3 linked regions of the Pelodiscus sinensis genome follow. The protein of the gene in region 2 purifies or fractionates together with the protein of the main gene of each other region. This does not show direct contact. Links are inferred from orthologs where the notes say so. Each region holds a gene or a part of one and is shown on either strand. Other genes may lie near its edges. The genes, in order: NKAPD1, CSNK2B and YAF2.

What was found.
Region 1: the proteins of CSNK2B (region 2) and NKAPD1 purify together in Homo sapiens (affinity purification with mass spectrometry; 3 studies listed by BioGRID and IntAct, counting the BioPlex papers as one, with this or other methods). This does not show direct contact. The link is inferred for Pelodiscus sinensis from reciprocal best matches to the Homo sapiens genes CSNK2B and NKAPD1.
Region 3: the proteins of CSNK2B (region 2) and YAF2 purify together in Homo sapiens (affinity purification with mass spectrometry; 5 studies listed by BioGRID and IntAct, counting the BioPlex papers as one, with this or other methods). This does not show direct contact. The link is inferred for Pelodiscus sinensis from reciprocal best matches to the Homo sapiens genes CSNK2B and YAF2.

What each region holds. Positions count from the first base shown.
Region 1 is NC_134736.1:6,939,086-6,942,831, reverse strand, and holds the start of NKAPD1 (uncharacterized protein NKAPD1), read right to left. Parts: upstream 2,927-3,746; 5' UTR 2,803-2,926; intron 2,722-2,802; exon of another isoform or gene 2,066-2,721; intron 1,887-2,065; 5' UTR 1,879-1,886; coding exon 1,810-1,878; intron 140-1,809; coding exon 39-139; intron 1-38.
Region 2 is NW_027466017.1:275,758-279,503, forward strand, and holds the start of CSNK2B (casein kinase II subunit beta), read right to left. Parts: upstream 2,855-3,746; 5' UTR 2,804-2,854; coding exon 2,734-2,803; intron 1,753-2,733; exon of another isoform or gene 1,617-1,752; intron 575-1,616; coding exon 492-574; intron 303-491; coding exon 200-302; intron 1-199. UniProt on the Homo sapiens protein: Regulatory subunit of casein kinase II/CK2.
Region 3 is NC_134711.1:53,360,482-53,364,227, reverse strand, and holds the start of YAF2 (YY1-associated factor 2), read left to right. Parts: upstream 1-1,387; 5' UTR 1,388-1,752; coding exon 1,753-1,778; intron 1,779-2,012; coding exon 2,013-2,138; intron 2,139-3,746. UniProt on the Homo sapiens protein: Binds to MYC and inhibits MYC-mediated transactivation. Also binds to MYCN and enhances MYCN-dependent transcriptional activation. Increases calpain 2-mediated proteolysis of YY1 in vitro.

The sequences.
Region 1 (3,746 bases), on a different chromosome or scaffold from region 2:
GTAAAGAAGACTATTTCTTCCAGATAATTAAGTCCCACCTAGAGGTATTGGGCGATATTCTCCCTTGCTTCCACCTGTAAGTCTCTTGAGTCTGCTTCTCCAGCTCTCTTATTTTCCACATTTCTGATTCTTCCTGAATCTGAAAAATATGAAGAAAATGAGAAAATAAGATTAAGTGCTCCACAGAAGTGTTGCTTTGCAACTATGAGGCACTGTAACCTCACTTCTTCTAGGTCAGTAATTCTGAGCTGGATGGATTTCAAACTAAGCTGACCTGCTTGCAGTGATATAAATGCGTCTTTTTAGCTATATTAAGTAAACCAAAAGGAGAAACATCATGACAATTAGCTGTAGTGGTTTTATAGGTGAAGAGTCTAATTCTGCAATCTGATCCATATAAGTGGATCCTCCAAGTCTATGCAAAAATCTCTCTCACTTCATTGGAGTTCTTCTCTCACATCTCTTACAGAACTGAAGTTGAAGCGAGTAATCACGTTAAACACATGAAAATACAACATGCAGCCATCTAGTGCTTTGACACAGATTTAGCTCACGTAGCTTTGTTATCCATGTGGCATCATCGCAGGTGCATATGAGATAAGTGCTCTTTGGAAAAATGCGTCTGCTGAATTAAATGCTTTAGTAAAGAAAGGCTAATTTCAAAATCTTTTACCAGGCTTGTGCACTGAAGTCAAGATCAATCCCCAAAGAGACCTGTTTTACAAAAGCACAAAAACCTAACAAGTGCTAAATTAAAAGAATCACCAAACCCAAAAGGTAAATATTATGAAAAAGTCCTTTTCGAAGATACCAGAGCTAGACAAACACTTCCATTATTTGTAAATAGATGAAACTTGTAAACAAATATTCCCTTGCCATGCCTACAAACCAAACAAGGCAGCACTAAGCAACTGAAAGGGAACTTGATTATGAACACATAAAACTGACTTTAATTGCCCAAGCTGAGAGAAAAGCAAAAAATGAAACAAGAGTTTAAAGAGGGAAAATCTAGATGAGTAAACATACATGTCATTGTTAGCAATGTAGGTAGAGGAGCTATGCTTATGCACAAAATGTGATTTTCAACTGATGGTGCCCCCTTAAAAAAATTTCTTGCTCAGCTAACAGTTAATTCACCTCTACATTCAGGATCAAATTCAGTTCAGTGCAGAAAATCAGCAGATGGCGTTGGCACTCTCTAAGTCCCAAAGAGAGCACTGTGATTTATTTATTTTTTTAAAGTTTATACATTTTTCATTTTATTTTTTGGAAATACAGTGTTATTTCATTTTATCTACCCTCATGGGAAAGCTGGAACCCTGCCCATGGAGGGAGGTGAGAGGCCCTGGACCTGGAGTTGGCTCAGGTTGGTTCCTGCCCAAGAGGTACAGTTCCAGTTGCTATAAGGTACAATGGACTCCTAAGATGCACTGTAGAAATTTCTACCTTCAAAAATACACCTGTGTGCTGAACAAGTAATTTAGCTACCATAATTCAGCAACAGTAAAATGAAAATAGCATAGCTCCATACAATGGCATCAAGAAAGAGCTTCCCCTAGAAGAATCATATCTGGGACCACAACACTAAAATAACAGATGTCACGGCAAGTGAGGGAATGCCAGATTCTGACATAGATAAGGAAAGTCAGACAGACTGTATTAGCAAGACAAAGTGGATGAGGTAATATCTTTCATTGGATCAACTTGTTGGTGAAAGAGACAAGTTTCTTCAGGTCTGGGCAATTAGAAGTGATACCATACTTTAAACACAGAGCGAGAGAAACAAAGGGACAGAACATGGTTCCCTACCTTGTTGTGTGCATCAGTGTGACGAATGACATTTCGTAAGAGAACTTTTCCTAAAGGGACCCGGGACATTCTTTAACCTTCATAGAATTCACAAAAAAGAAAGCAATTAGAGAATCACATATAAGACTCTTTAATGCAGAAAATGCTCGTCAGGACTGAGACAAAGCTTAAAAGCAATTTTTTTCCACCTGTATGACAGAAAACATGTTATTGACTCAGGCTGACATTTGTGTTCCCTAAGAAAACACTGCATTACCCCAAAACGAAGACTTCTTAGAGCCACTCTTCACATACAGGGCTTAGAAAGGATCATGCAGTAACTGATGCCCACGTTCAGAGTTCCTGATAAACCTCTGTATCTCGTATCGCACATATCAATGAGAAGCGGGAAACAAAGTATTTATTAGTCTAATGTCCATGTTGATCACCTTTCACGTGGTGGATCTGATCCTGCGCTTACCTCGCTCCGCACAAGTCAGATGAGACTGCGCTGAAACCAACGGAGCTATGCTGGTGAAAAACGAACATGAGGAGAGACCCAGGCCCTACAGATACAGCCATTCACCGCCCAGCTCAATGCAGCCCCCCCGTGGTGTCAGCCAGCAGCTAGCTGACAGCTCGCAGCATGTTAGGGTGGAAAATAAAGAGGCCTCCCGGAAAGCGGGAAGAGGGGAGGGAGGTCTAGGGAAATGGGCTTCGACCCAAAACACCAGCCCGCCTGGGACCCATCAGCAGCCACACGTGGAGCCAGGCTGGGGGCCGTGATGGGGGAAGCGGAGGCAGCGCCAGCCGGCAGGGAGCGTGGGGCAGTGAGTGGCTGCCACAGCGCTGGGCATATGGGGGGGGGGCACAGATCCAGTCAGACCTGGGGAGGACCCCCCCCCGCAATCCTCTGCCCCCCCCCCCCCCAAGACCCCCTCCTCACATCCTCCCCCAGAAGCCCCAGGTCCCTCCCCCAGCTCAGCCCCCCTCCCGACCCAACGCCCTTCTCACCCGCGGAGGGAGGGGGACTACTCCCCCCAGCCCGGAAGTGCGTGACCCGGAAGTGCTTCCACCGGACGCACCCGGCTGCGGAGGGCCCGAACCGGAGGCGGGACCTAGGGACCCAGTAAGGAACGCAAGGATTGGAGGGCTAACGTCACTTCCACTTCCGGTTTTTCTCACGTCGGTTGTTATGGAAACGGCTTCTGGTGTCGCGAGGTAGGAGCTGTGTGGCGCGTGAGGGGGAAGGGAGCAAAGGGCCGCTCGGAGCTCCGGGCTAGGGTGGAGGCCAGCGGGAAGCTCGGGGCATTAGAGTCGGGGCCTTGGAGCAGCTCGGGGCGCTGGGATGGGGGCCAAGGGGCCAGCTCGGGGCACTGGGATGGGGGCCAAGGGGCAGCTCGGGGCGCTGGGATGGGGGCCAAGGGGCAGCTCGGGGCGCTGGGATGGGGCTAAGGGGACAGCTCGGGGCGCTGGGGTGGGGGCAAGGGGACAGCTCGGGGCGCTGGGATGGGGGCCAAGGGGGCAGCTCGGGGCGCTGGGATGGGGGCCAAGGGGCAGCTCGGGGCGCTGGGATGGGGGCCAAGGGGCAGCTCGGGGCGCTGGGATGGGGGCCAAGGGGGCAGCTCGGGGCGCTGGGATGGGGGCCAAGGGGACAGCTCGGGGCGCTGGGATGGGGGCCAAGGGGGCAGCTCGGGGCGCTGGGATGGGGGCCAAGGGGACAGCTCGGGGCGCTGGGATGGGGGCCAAGGGGGCAGCTCGGGGCGCTGGGATGGGGGCCAAGGGGCAGCTCGGAGCGCTGGGATGGGGGCCAAGGGGGCAGCTCGGGGCGCTGGGATGGGGGCCAAGGGGACAGCTCGGGGCGCTGGGATGGGGGCCAAGGGGGCAGCTCGGGGCGCTGGGATGGGGGCCAAGGGGACAGCTCGGGGCACTGGGATGGGGGCCAAGGGGGCAGCTCG
Region 2 (3,746 bases):
CTGTGCCGCACGCATCCTGGGCCGGCAGTCGTGCGAAGGGGCAGCTGTCTGGCTTCGACATGCCGGCCCATTCAGAGGGGCGGGGAGCGGCAGCAGGGTGGAAGGAGACGAGGACTCACACAAAGCTGGCAGGGGGCTGGTGACGGGTCAGGGGCTCAGACCGAGACCCCTCCTCAGCCCTGGGACCCCCACCTAGTACCTGGCTCCAAGTCGAGGATCATGTCGAGCGCCTGGCGGTAATGGGGGACTTGCTCATTCAGCCCCGTCAGGTTAAACTTGTCCTGGATATAGTCCTCATCCACCTGCGGGGGAGGGAGACGGGCTGAGAACCCAGGTGTCCGGACTCCCAGGCCCTCCTCCCCCCATGCTCCAACCACTAGACCCCACTCTCCTCCCATGGTCAGGACAAGTCCTGGCTCCCAGTTGCTTCCTCTCCCAGAGCCAGGCAGAGAACCCAGGCACTCTGGCTCCAACCACTAGGCACCACTCACCTCACAGAAGAACTCATTTCCACGCAGGCCACAGAACCAGGAAATCCAGGAGACCTCTTCGGAACTGCTCATCTTCCCGTCCTCTGCAGAGGGGGGGGGGGGGGGGCGCGTCAGGCTACCCGTGTGTGCGGTGAACGTGGCTCGGGCTTGGCTGGCAGCCCCACACGCCGCTCCCACTACAGACCGTGCAGCCAGTGCTGTGACGTGTCCCCTCACGTGTCCCCTCAGGAGCAGCCCCCTCAGGAGCAGCCCCCTCAGACAGCGTTCAGATGCGCCCCCTCTGGGGTGGGACACGGGGAGGGAGAGGGGCAGTTCTACAGGGACCCCTCTCTCGGCACTGAGATGCAGCTGGCTCTGGGGTGGGGCATGAAGGGTGAATGGCCCTTCCCCCATTGTATCTTTAACTCGTCCTCCCATGGCACGGGCAGAGATGAGGGATAAATACTCCCCCTTTGCACTGGGGCACAAATGCCCCCACCCTCCTCCCCTCTTTGCACAAGGGCAGACCGCTCATCATTGTGTGGGTCTGGGCCCCCTTGCCCTCCCGCTGCACAGCTCCCTCCTCCCCAGCTTGATACTAAGAAGGCAGATGACCCTGCCACATGCCCCCTTCGCTCTAGTGAGCACATGCCCCCCCCTTTGTGCTAGGGACAGACCCCCCCCACACACACACCCTTTGCACTGGGGACAGAACACACACTCTTACACCCGTTGGATTAGGCCCCCTCCCCTCTTTCCACTAGGATGCAAATCACCTCCGGCCTCTAAGGGCAGGCTCCCCCCCCTTTGCATTAGGGTGAAAATTCCCCCTCTTTGCACTAGGGTGCAAATCCCCCCGCCATGCCTTCCAGTAGGGGCAGCCCCCCCCACCTTTGCACTAGGAGAAGGCCCTCTTCCCTCTTTACACGAGGAGCAAATCCCCCCGCCCCCCACTGCACTAGGGCAGACACCCCGGCCTCCCTTGTGCTACAGCACACCCCCACCCCCACTTTGCACTACGGCAGACTCCCCGCCCCCCCTTTGCACTAGGGTAGAAGCCCCCCCTTGCACTACGGCGCGGCCGGCCCTTTGCACAAGGGCAGTCCACCCCCCGCCCCTCTTCGCACCAGGGCGCAGGACACTCACCCCCGCGCGCTCAGCCCCGCTCGGCAGCAGGCGGTGCCCGGCAGCGAGTGCAAACAAGCGCTGCCAGACGTGCACAGGCCTCGCTTCCGGCCCCCTCCCAGCGCGCGGGGCATGACGGGAGATGGAGTTCGCAGCCACCGCCGCCTCCATAGGAGTCCAGGGACGCGGGGCCAGCGCGGAACTACCGCTCCCACCATGCAAAGCGGGGGCAGCGGGCGCGGGGGGTGATGGGAGGCCGCGATGCACGACGGGAGTTGCAGTTCTCCAGCCGCCCGAACCGCATTGGGACGCATGGGCAGCGGGACCCGACGGTACTACGGGCGTACGGCAGGAGGGGACCCCGCGGAGCCGCAAAGCAGCATGGGAATCGTAGTCCCGGAGTGCCCCTAGGGCCATTAGAACGAACGGGCGGCAGGATGCTCACAGACTACACCCGCCATGACAGACAGAGAAGCGGCTGCGTGCGCAGCCGGGCGCCGCAAGGCCTCCTGGGAGTTGTAGTCCCGCAGCTCCCCGCGCGAACTACAGCCGCCATGTTTGAACGCGATAGGCGGGACGGGAGGAAGCCGGGGGAGGCGCCGCAAGGCCGCTTGGGAGTTGTAGTTCTGTCGCCGCCCGAGCCTCATTGCCGGGATTGGAGGGCGGGGGAGCGGGAAACTACGAAGCCCAGAGGAGGGGCGAGAGGAGGGGCCGCAGAGCATAATGGGAGGAGCGGTCTTCCCCCCCCCGCCGTCTCTTAGGAGCAGACCGGAGCCAGACGCATGGGGGAGGGGCCCGGACACCTGAAAGCCATCAGACATGGGCGTGGCCTGACCCGAAGGGGAGGGGCTTATCCAAAAAGGGGGGTGTCCGCACGCAAATGGGCGTGGCCTGTCCCGATGGGGTGAGACTTCACCCAGAGTAACTGCCATATTAAAGGGCGGGGCCAACACAAAGAGGGCGTGGCTTCCCCTAAACGGGCGTGTCCCTGCAAAATGGGCGTGGTCTAACCCTCGTGAGGGCGTGCCCCTTACTGGGACAGGCGGGATTTCCCGCAGGGGGCGTGGCCTCATCTCCGGGAGTGTCCGGCCCCCACGAAAGGGCGTGGCCTCCCCGCCGGGGGCGTGGCTTCCTTTACCCTCCTTGATGCTGGTGCTGCTCCGCCGGGTGCTGGCTCTGCTGTACTCCATGGCGCCCCGCGTGCTCATCTGCCCCGGCACGTTAATTGGTACCGGCCATGAAGGGTTAATTACGCTGACCTACAGGTTAATTACAAATATGTTAATTAGCCTGTCGCGGGTAGGGCTATTTCTGACGTAATCCGGTTAGGGTGAGGTAAATTAGAAGGTGTGTTAATGAACCGACGTCGGGATGACGTCACGCGCCTGCGAGCCGATCCTACTGTCATTAATTCCTTCCCAAATTAAATCTAATTCTATTGAAATGGGAACAAATCGACGCTAATTGGCTGGGTTCGAGGCAGAAAGGCATGCTGGGTAATATGCAAATGAGATTACCGCGCACCTCACGCTAGAAGCAGGGAAGCGCGCGGGGCAGTGGCCGTTACTAGGCCAGCGAGAGCGCGAGGGCCCTTGCGCATGCGCTGTGCTGGCCTCTAGGTTCGAAGCACGGGGCTGCGCATGCGCCTGTTTTCGGTTTCGCACGCGCGCCCCCTGGCTCGGTTTCACTGGGCTCCCGTGCGCAGGAGCCTGGCTCCTCCCTTCACCGCCTGACGCGTTACGTGACGTCACTCACGCGCCCCGCCTGCTTTTCCCGCGTCTGGAACACGGTGCGCACGCACCTCGGGGGGGGGGGGATGTACTGCGCATGCGCGTCGCGGGTCACTCGTCGCGGCCTAGAGTAACCGGCCGGCGGGAGGCTGCGTTCGAGCCGCTCCCCTCATGCGCGTGCCTAGAACCAGGAACCCCCCTGCCCCCCCCACCGGCGGCCTCGCGCGCATGCGCCTTCCCTTGGCCCCCGGGGGCGGCGCGCGGCTGCTGCGGCCTCCGGCGTCTCTATGGTGAGTGGGGCCGCGACGGCGTCTGGGGGGAGGGGCGGGAGTGTGGCTGGCCCCGCCCCCAGGGCCTAGCCCCGCCCACAGCTCCCCGAGGCGCTCGCCCCGCCCCCTGGCCCTTAGCCCCGCCCCTGGGG
Region 3 (3,746 bases), on a different chromosome or scaffold from region 2:
TTCAGCCTACATTTTCCTTTTCTTAATTTCACCTCATTATTCCCAGCTAAAATTCTTTTTTTTTTTGCAATGTTCAGAAAAGGAACAACATTCTTCATGGGTTTTTTTATGCTGTTAGGCACATTTTATTTGTACTTAATCTATGAATACAAATATTAATGTTGTTTGTAACCTTGCATCTAATCTAGATCTTATATGAATTTGTATCTGCATCTATCACAATAGTACCAGTGTCTGAACATTTCTGAGGTTAATTGACTGGTATAGCAAGGTATCTCATGGTACTTCTTGGAGTTTTCTACTTTTCTCCTAACCTGGTTATGACAGCACTGCATGGGATACAGGTTTTTTTTTCTTTGAGGGCGGGGTCTAATTATTGTGGTAAATGTTACTCTATGATAATATGGAAGCTTTATGAAAGAGGAAAGGTCTTGAAGCTGTAAGATTCTGGATTAAATTATTCTCTTCTGAAATTTTGTTCCACAACCAGATCTCCTCATCAGAAAATGCCCCATTTCTGGCTCTCATAATTTTTTATCCTGAGCTTTGATCAGCATTGTTCCAGTGGAATGTAGCTATACTAGTAATTCATAGATGGAAATGTAATCGCTAATGTACTTAGGACCTTGAGTTGCCAAATTTGGTTGGACATATTCCTGGAGATTTCATCACATAACATAATCTTTAATTAAAAATTAATCTTGAATTCCCGGAGACTCCAGGACAATCTTGGAGGGTTGATAACCCTAGTAAGACCAGATCCATGAATGGCTTTCAACAGCATGCCCACGGCTTTGGACTGGCAATGAAAATAGACCAATAACTAGTGTTGCTGTGGCCTAATCTGCGGAGAAAGTGTGCTGCCTCATTCTGTACCACCTGTTAGCATTGTTCATATTTATATTCAGTTATCCAGTTTGGAGCTGATGAATGAGGCCAGGACCCTGACACAGAGGAAGAGATGTGGTTTGAAGAGATGAAAGGAAGAGGCCTTCTGGATCAGTCCTGCCTTTATGAGGATTGGGCACACTCTTGCCTTGTGTGTAATTTACATATCATCCTAGGTGAGATGGCATATTGATTTACGTGCAACAGGAACGTGGTTCGTGCAATAGGAAAGTGGTTCTGTCATATCTGTCAGCACATGCACGTTGCATCTGCAATATATCAAAACAGGCACGGCCTGTATGAAATACATATGTCATTGCTGCAGAGGGGATCTGTCTCTCAGCCCGCCTGGCAGCTTGCTTGCCATGTGCTGTTAGGCAAGCTGTTACAGGCGCAGGAGACAACACAATGGCCGGGGGACCCCCACGCCGTCACTCCCCGCAGGGCGGGGACCCCTAGCCCGCACACGGGGGCGGGGGTGGCTGGCCCAGCACACACACGAGCTCCCATCCCGTTGCCCCCTCCAGCCAGCCAGCGCGCGCGCTGTGGGGCGAGCGACGAGGGCTGCGCCGCCGCCTCAGCAGCTCGCCGCCCGCTCCCCTCAGGCCGGCTGGCGCCGCCAGCAGATGCGAACCTGCCGCCTCGCGCTGCCGGGGGCTCGGAGGGCTGCGGGCGGCCGCTGGTTGGCGGCGGGGGGACACGTGAGGGAGGAGGGGGCGGCGGGCGGCAGAGGGAGCCGGAGTTTCCCCGACAGCTGGAGGTTGCGGCGGCGGCTCCTCCTCCCCGCTCGAGCCAGGGCCCCCCGCGCTCCTCCTTATTTACAAACACACAAAGGGCCGGGCCGGGGACGCGTCTGCAGCCGGCATGGGAGACAAGAAGAGCCCGACCAGGTAAGGGCGGCGCGGAGGCCTGGCGCCGGCAGCGCCCGCGCCCTGGATTAGCGGCGCCTCCTGGCCGGGCCCGACCCTGCGCCGGGAGCAGCGGCGAGCCGGCTCGGCCGTGCAGCGGCCATGGCGGCCGCGGGAGCCGGGCTGCAGCGGGGGCGGTCGGGCCGGGCTGCGAGCGGGGCCTGACCCACCGCCCCCGCCTGTCCCCCCCTCCCCCCCGGGTTGTGTGTGTTGCAGGCCGAAGCGGCAGCCGAAACCCTCCTCGGACGAGGGCTACTGGGACTGCAGCGTGTGCACCTTCCGGAATAGCGCCGAGGCCTTCAAGTGCATGATGTGCGATGTGAGGAAGGGCACCTCCACTCGGTGAGTGTCCGGACACCCTGACCCGGCGCGCAGCAGCCCCGGGGTGCCAGGGAGCCGGCTGCTGCAGTAGGAACTAGGTCAGGTTTATGGGGGATCCCGTCGCCCGTGGGCTGTAGGGACAGGGACCAGAAATGCTGCAGCGTTTGCTCCCAGACTCATTTAACCCTTTGGCTCTAGCAGCTAAGAGGCATTTTCCTTTTATAAAATTAACAGAATACGTGTCCAGACACTAGCTGAAATCCTCTCGAAGGGGAGAGAAGGTGAGTTCCCTTCATTGCAAGGAGCTCCTGGGGCTTAACTGGCATCTTATTGTGCTTGCATTAGGTTTTGTTTTCTATGTTAAAGTACAATAGCATATGCAAGGTAACACTTTTGAAATACAATGCCGATAGGGTTTATTAATCTAATTATGAAAATAATTTTGTGCAGCATAAAATGAGGTGTTTTTATAAATTAAAATGTGAAAATATGGTCTCTACAAAGTACAATGTGTTAATCTTCCATTTTTTCATGGTGGGTCATCAATATGCTATTTCATCTAAAGCATTTGCTTCTATTATCATTGATTTTTCTTTATGAAGTAGCTTAATTCAATTTCCTCAAAAATCCCAAACAAAAATCCCTAAATCTTATTTATTTCTATGTTTAATGTTAAAGAACTATCCTGTTTTTTTCAATCCCACCTTAGAGATTTATTCTCTCTACAGAGGTGATTCCCTGCTACTACTTTTTCAAAGGGAATGTAAATTAGCTGAGTTTTTTAATACAGTGAAGTCAGTCTGGAAATCACTGACATCTCAGAGTAAACCTTTTCCGTAGAACATCATAAACATCCTGAGAATCATTTGGATCCAACATGTTTGTATAGTTCTATTATTATGGGTTAGAACAGAGGTAATCAGTTATTTTTTGTTAGGGTTCACATTTCTTTGTCAAGGTCCAAACTACAGAGAAAATAATAATCAGTTTCCGCTCCCCAGTAAATAAGAAGATTTTTTGGCCTATTCAAAAGCATTTGGCCCACATCTACTTCTGGGTTAGAACACGCTCTAAAGGATGGATAATTTTATAAAACCAACAAGTGTGCAACTGTGGAGTCTTTTGCACATTAGCATAAGAAAATAACATGTGCTTTTATTTATTATTATTATTAGTATTAGTATTATTTATGTATTATATCTTGTCAATCCTGTTAGCAAAAGAGATATGCCACAGTCTTTTATTAAGAGTTATAAGAGCTTTATTACAAACATAAAACATAATAATACTGGATACGATTTTTGCAATGAATTTATTGTAAATTAATGTTCAAATAATTCAGGAATAGACTTGTTCTCTCTTTTGATGATGTATATTTGTAAAAAAGATTTTTAAAAATATTTTTTCAAAACTAACTTTAAATTTATTAGAGAGTTCGTAGAATGACTTGTCTTTATGATAGCAGTCAGGTTCATAACCTTTTGACATTTACTTATCATACTATGTTTTCCAGTACTAAAAATGAGGCTAGATTTCTACTTAACTTGGTTTTTCAGTTTTCAGAGAATTTAATAGAATTATACATCTTTATTGAAGCTAGGTGAGTGAGGTAATACCTTTTACTAGGTC